Linked DNA regions of Daphnia pulex. The protein of the gene in region 1 interacts with the protein of each later gene in a biochemical or structural test. Links are inferred from orthologs where the notes say so. Each region holds a gene or a part of one and is shown on either strand. Other genes may lie near its edges.

Evidence for each region.
Region 2: the proteins of bromodomain adjacent to zinc finger domain protein 1A-like (region 1) and chromatin-remodeling complex ATPase chain Iswi-like form a complex in vitro, tested with the Drosophila melanogaster proteins (3 studies listed by BioGRID). The link is inferred for Daphnia pulex from reciprocal best matches to the Drosophila melanogaster genes Acf and Iswi.

The regions. Positions count from the first base shown.
Region 1 is NC_060028.1:6,186,141-6,190,769, reverse strand, and holds the end of bromodomain adjacent to zinc finger domain protein 1A-like, read left to right. Parts: coding exon 1-573; intron 574-641; coding exon 642-851; intron 852-907; coding exon 908-1,346; intron 1,347-1,438; coding exon 1,439-1,715; intron 1,716-1,799; coding exon 1,800-1,898; intron 1,899-1,958; coding exon 1,959-2,057; intron 2,058-2,126; coding exon 2,127-2,286; intron 2,287-2,350; coding exon 2,351-2,703; intron 2,704-2,767; coding exon 2,768-3,001; intron 3,002-3,613; coding exon 3,614-3,807; intron 3,808-4,019; coding exon 4,020-4,183; intron 4,184-4,254; coding exon 4,255-4,330; 3' UTR 4,331-4,583; downstream 4,584-4,629.
Region 2 is NC_060024.1:13,563,612-13,565,980, forward strand, and holds the end of chromatin-remodeling complex ATPase chain Iswi-like, read left to right. Parts: intron 1-64; coding exon 65-174; intron 175-238; coding exon 239-362; intron 363-421; coding exon 422-761; intron 762-826; coding exon 827-978; intron 979-1,038; coding exon 1,039-1,199; intron 1,200-1,269; coding exon 1,270-1,576; 3' UTR 1,577-1,750; downstream 1,751-2,369.

The DNA.
Region 1 (4,629 bases):
TACTCCTCTTAAGAAGCTGTCTATGGATTCCTTAACCGTATCAGAAATATTACGACTTCACTTAATATCGTCTGGTGGCGGTAGTAGTGAACTTCGTACAAAGTGGCGGTATCAACAAAGAGGTGGATATAGTGCTGCTGATGATCCTGGTGTTCAGTTGCGTCAGGAAGATCCTCATATTCTACATGCCTTGTCTCACAGCACGGTATACGAATTGCCCGTCGGTGATAAAATGAAAGTTATCAAATGCCTTTGTCATCAAATACTCACATATGCATCAATAAGAGACATACTCGAAGAAAAGAGTACTAAATTAATCCATTTACGTCAAGAACTGAAAGCTCTGCATGCCAATGAGAGACGTATGAGAAAAGAAGATATCATTAATCGAGCCAAATTACGCTCTGAAGAGAACGGTAACACCGAAGATGGAACAGAGTTAGAAAGGTTGCTACAAGAAACTGCCAAAAGAAAAGGGGAGGTTCTCAAGAAGGAGCAGCAACTTCGCCAACAAATTCTCAGGATGACAGCCATGACTCATTTGGCACCTCTTGGACAAGATCGTGCTTTCAGGTATTTAGTGCATTGGTGTGGAATGAGACTAATCAAATCAAAAAACTAAATATTCATTTCTTTTTTAGGAGGTTTTGGGTTTTTGAATCACTTCCCGGGTTGTTTGTGGAACATGATGATGACTACGTTGGGACTTGTTTACCCGAACCCACGCCCTATTCCATGCCAAAACCAAACGGATTGCCGATTGATCCCAGCAAATGCAAAGAAGACATTAGGAAATTTTTTAAAGCAGCGAATAAAGAAAATGATATCTCAACCGAACCTGTCTGCGAAAAGTGAGTATTGCATTTCATTTTACATTTTATATTATTACGTATAATCATTTTAACAGTTCTTTGAAAATTAGGCCCAAAATTTTTGGTGTTTGCACTTCTAATCCGACGAACTGCCCTGTCCACGCCACCTACCTTTCACGAACAAAATGGTCATTCTATGAAAATGTCGATTTCGTTGATCAAATCCTACTGAGCCTTAATGAACGAGGGCAACGTGAAAGTGTATTGAAGAATGCAATGGTTCGAGAAAAGGAAAGAATCGTAGAAGGAATCACAAAGTGCTTTGTCCACCGTTTGGATAATTCAAGGCCTGAAGTTAAACTCGAAGGTGAAACTCGCAAATCCACCAGACAAATACGAAAGGAGAAAGAATACGATATCAACCTTTACTTTCCTGCCGGTACTCCCGTCGAGGAGATCATGGAGCGAACACTAGTTGATATGGTTCTTGAGACTGAAGAGAAAATTTTTGTTGGCGGCTTGGGATCCTTGAAGGTACAGTAGATTAAATGATTAATTTACATCAATAACATCTTTGTGTGTTTAAAAACAAATCCAATTTCATCTACATATAAATATTTTACTAGGTCAAAGACCGAAACGCATGGAGAACGTCTTTAGAAGAAAGGAAGTTTGTTTCGCAGGTTGAAACTCTAACTTGGGGTGGAAAACTGGAAACGAAGACACACCCAAAGCTTGAACACAATGATGCCGAGGATGAAGATAACCGCTCCGAAACAAGCTCTTCGGTGGAAGCAGAAACCACTGCTAATGCCGTTGCCAGAAAGTGCGTTGTGGATCTAGCATGTTCCTTACTTCAGTTAGCTCAAAGTGTCGAAACCAAGTATCTGAAGAAACCTCTAGGTAAGTCAGTATTTTATTAGCTGGATTTGGTTTGATTGAGATTTACTTAGTAGTCGAAGTGATTAATTTAAAAATTATTTTCAGGAGAAGATGAGAAAGAAAGAAAAAAACGACTAAAAGCCGAAGAAGCGATGAAAAAATGGGAAGACCACAAGGAGCCGGATCACAAGACGGATGCCAAAAGTAAGATAACGTCTTATGACATGTCATAACAAAAATAGCTGATTTTAATACTATTTCTAGCGGAACCGAAAACAGTACGAACGCCGTTAGAAAAATGGGAGTTGTCTCTACATGCATGCACGAGTTTGTCACAGTTGTACGTTCACTTAGCGCTATTAGGTGAGTTAGATATATATTTACGTATTTATGTGCAATATATATTCTACTAAATGCTTTGAATATTTAAAGATAACAGTATTACATGGAATCGCTCAGCGTTGAATGCTCGATGCCGTATTTGTCGTCGTAAAGGAGATCCGGAAAAGATGTTGCTCTGCGATGGATGTGATAAAGGACACCACATGTATTGCTTGAAACCTTTGCTCACCGTTGTACCAGAAGGAGATTGGTAAATTTAATAAGCGTTAACATGTTCGTTGAACTCATTTCAAATAACCTTATTATTATTCAAGGTTCTGTGCCGAGTGCAAACCCCGTGAAAAGCCTCGAACGCCTCGTAAAGCACGTCGCGTCTTTTCTGAAGAATCCGAGGACGAGGCTGTTGAAGAAGAAGAAGCGGATGCTGGCGAAGAGGAAGCCGAAGTTGAAGCGGAGGAGGGTGAAAGTGATGTAGAATCAGTAGATAATGAAATCTGCCCAGTTTGCCAAGAAGGTGGAGAGGTTATTTGCTGTGACACATGCCCAGCCGTCTATCACTTAGAATGCATCAACCCGCCTCTGAGAAAGGTCCCAAGAGGCAAATGGTCTTGTCCGCAGTGCAAGACACCTCCCCAGGATAGAGAAAGAGGCAAACTACGAGAAAAAAGTAGAAACTATTTCATGTGCTCTTCAATGTTAAGCTGTTACTATAATTTTTCTCTGTTGATCAGATTCTGACGGTCGGACCGGTTCTGCCCGAATCTCACGAACCCGTCATGCGATCGATTTTGATGAAGAAGTGAAGGATATGGGGAGGCATGCTGGTGCGCGTAAGCGTACGCAAACCGAGCCTGTACGATCCAAGTCACCCGCTGACTTGGCCCTAGGCAAACGCCGTTCGGCAGCAGAAGCTGTTGACAAAATTGCTCAATCCTCCAAGCGACTCAGAGGGGACAGCAACGATGGTAAGAGATTTCTTTACCGCAAGTAAACGCCTATTTAAATCAAATAACGAACACTACTACCGCGTTTCACGCTTCCTCCTACCGTGCACAACGACTACTTTTACTTCATCTTACCTTGCACAACGACTACTTTTTCTTTATATCAGTTCCCCCCCACTACCCCAGGTTGTTCCGCTCATCATCTTAACCTCTCGGCCTTGACTTTGACACTGCCTTGTGACGTACTTTTTTGTTTCATTTTTTGGAAGATGTCAGTTGTGAAGCCTCGCCGCTTCCTGCTATTTTTCGTAATAAAAGGATCAACCACTTTTACCTGACTGATTTATTTTTTCCTTCGTACAAAAACAATGGACTTGCGATGTCATTATAGGTTTCCCTTGACGACAAAGTAAACTTAGGTGTCTGTTCACGTCTAGTTAAAAACTGCTCGAAATGAAATTTAGTTCGGAACCCAGCTTTAATTTCAAGTAGATTCAATCTAATCAAGACACTAGATTTGCCGCACAAATTTCCTTATTCATAGCTTATTACCAAATCCCATCCTACAAATATTGTTACGACTGAATGTTTTGACGCCTGGTTACAAATCTTAAATTGTTCATTTCTATTTAGACGAAAGCGGTAATAGTGACAACAACAGCAAGTGGAATGCAGCAGCACATCGGAAAAGGAGTCGTCCATTGCCATTGCCTTCCGCAACTTCTCCTTCCGGGTTTGTTGACTTGGCTGATTTACTACAGCTATTGGCCGATTTGAGCAGTCATGTCGATAGTTGGCCTTTCCTCAAACCCGTCACCAGAGCAGAGGTAAAATATTGATAAGATTTATAGCCGTTTTATAGTTCACGCCAAGAGTTTGCCCTATCGTATTTCTCGTAACGTGACTTTTTCTGAGATCATTGTGACTGTAACTTGAAACAAATGAAACCGTTTCAAAGAATTCATAATTACGTATCATTTTCCCTATTCGTTAATTTGAAAATATTCCAGTAATTTGATTTGTGTGTAATTTTTCTCAGGCTCCGGACTATCATCATGTTATTAAACAAGCTATGGATCTTGGTACAATGAAGTACAAACTCAACAGTATAAAGTACAAGACGGCGGAAGATTTCGTCAAGGATTTGCAGTTGATATTCACGAACTGCTATACTTACAATAACGACGCTGCCGATGAATACAAGTAAGTTAATATTTCTTTTGATCAGCAGTTTTTAAATTGTTGGCTTTTACAAATGTGTTTGTCTGTACCAGATGTGGTCGCAACCTGAGTCGATACGCTGAGAAGCAGTTAGAAAAACTAGGTATCAAGATGATGCCAACGGATTAACATTTGAACCAATTTTCCTACAAATCCAACTCTCCCTACCACCCCCTAAAAAGTCATTCATTCGACAACCCCGATGGAAATATTGGATAAAACCGTGTCTCTTTTATGTTAAAATTCTGGCGACCGTCAATGGGTTGTCGATTGCGTTTCCAATTAAAACAGTAAGAAGTTCGGAAATTTGAATAACAGTGAAATACACTTGAAATCGATTAGCTATATGTAACAATGCTAAATGAGATTCATTTAAGTTTAATCAACAGCCCAATGGTTCCATTTACTGACATTTAAAAAAGAAAATA
Region 2 (2,369 bases), on another chromosome or scaffold:
TTGCCTTATATAAAGATGGATCGATTTTTTTGAGTAATTTGCATCTTGTATTGTTATTTTTCAGACACAAGAAGTTGCTGAACGTCTCGAGAAACTCGGAGAATCATCGCTCCGTAATTTCACTTTGGACGCCCCAACAGAGTCCGTCTACCAGTTCGAAGGCGAAGACTATCGGTAATACCACATCTAGCTTTGTAATCATGGAACATGCTTACATTGAAACTTTTTTGTTACATAGAGAGAAACAAAAGTCGATTGTTGGTGCCTGGATTGAACCGCCTAAACGTGAGCGCAAGGCCAACTATGCCGTAGATGCATATTTTAGGGAAGCTCTTCGAGTTACAGAACCCAAAGCTCCCAAGGTAAGGCCCTAATATTTGTTGCATCCGTTCCATCTGAATCACTTCTTTGATTTACTTAGGCACCTCGACCACCTAAACAACCCATCGTGCAAGACTTCCAGTTTTTCCCGCCACGGCTATTTGAGTTGCTTGATCAAGAGATTTATCATTACCGTAAAACGGTCGGCTACAAGGTTCCGCGTAACCCTGAGCTGGGAGCTGAAGCTGCCAAAGTCCAACGAGAGGAACAAAGGAAAATTGATGAAGCCGAGCAACTAACGGACGAGGAGCAGGCGGAGAAGGAAAGTCTTTTAACTCAGGGTTTTATATCGTGGACGAAGCGGGACTTCAACCAGTTTATTAAAGCAAATGAGAAATATGGCCGAGATGATGTTGAATATATGACAAAAGAAGTTGAAGGTGTGTATTTAAGAAAGCTTAAGAGTTAAAACACTTACTTAACACTTTTCAATTTGGATTATCAGGTAAAACCCCAGAAGAAGTGATGGAATACAGTGCAATTTTCTGGGAGCGATGCCATGAGCTGCAGGACATTGATCGAATCATGGCTCAAATTGAGCGAGGCGAAGCCAAAATCCAACGCCGGACGTCGATCAAGAAAGCTCTCGATACTAAGGTAAACTAATCTGTGAGAAGTATAAAAATGTTGCGAATACTGATTTTTAATTTCTTCCAGATGTCAAAGTATCGAGCACCCTTCCATCAGTTGCGCATTGCTTACGGAACCAATAAAGGCAAAAATTACACTGAAGAAGAAGATCGCTTTTTGGTTTGTATGCTGCACCGTCTAGGGTTTGACAAAGAGAACGTGTACGAAGAGCTGCGAGCCGCTGTTAGGTATGATTAGACGTTTTGCTATAAATTAAATAAATTAGTCACCTTCAACTTTCTTTCTCTTTGCCCACAGATCTGCTCCACAGTTCCGCTTCGATTGGTTCCTTAAATCGCGCACAGCTATGGAGTTGCAGAGGCGATGCAATACTCTAATTACCTTAATAGAAAGAGAAGTTCAAGAGTGGGAGGAAAAGGAGAAGGTAGACAAGAAGAAGCGTGGTCCGAAGACCAGCATTGGATCTAAAGTTGAAGCAACTCCGAAATTAGAGGACGATGGAGCCAAAAGTGAAGCAACGCCTACGAAGGGCTCCAAACGCAAGAGCGAATCAGCGGTTGGTACACCGGAAACAAAAGGACGAGGAAAGAAAAAGAGAACTTGAAGTGTCAATCTCGCTAATAAAATCGTAAAACAAATTTCTGACCGACGGAACGAACATTATTAAAATGATTCTTAAAATGAGCCATTCCTGCTCCCTTTCTTTTAAAATTTCTCATGGTATTTACCAATTCGATTAATGTACGATTTCGTGACCCAATACACCTTAAATCTGAAATTCGTTTGTGATGTAAATCAATCAGTGAAGGATTCCAATTCCGTGGGAAGATTTGTTCATATTAAGAGACAAATAAATATTGATGAATAACTGTATATTTCAAACGTTAAAATTGACTAAAGCGTGGGAAATGCGTATGGTCTCAACGAACATAAAATAAGTGGCTCTGTCGGACAGCGCCATATCCGCCGGTGCGGGGATTCTGGGAGGCTTCAGAAAACGAAGTTAAAAATCTAAGAATGTGTAATAAGAACAACGAAAGGAGGATAGAAATTACAGTTTTTGAGAATTATCTAGTTGCAACTGGTTATAACCAGGTAATAACAAATAAAATGGTAATAATAAAAAAAAAATGAACGCGCGCTCAAGCGATATTTTCGAATTCGTTTGGCAACGTGCTCCGCAATCCGCTTTCCATGAATTAGGGTTTGACCGACGGCGTGGTTTCGGCCTTTGGGGGGGACCGAGTGTATAAATAGTCTTGCATCCTCTCTTCACAGCCCTGATAAAGTATCTGTTGGAGCAGAGAATGACGTCGCAAAATGAGGTGAGCTTTCTTTTGTCTACTAACTGTTAATTTTAATATTCCGTGTGTAACTCAAGTATTTAAAGATTATAT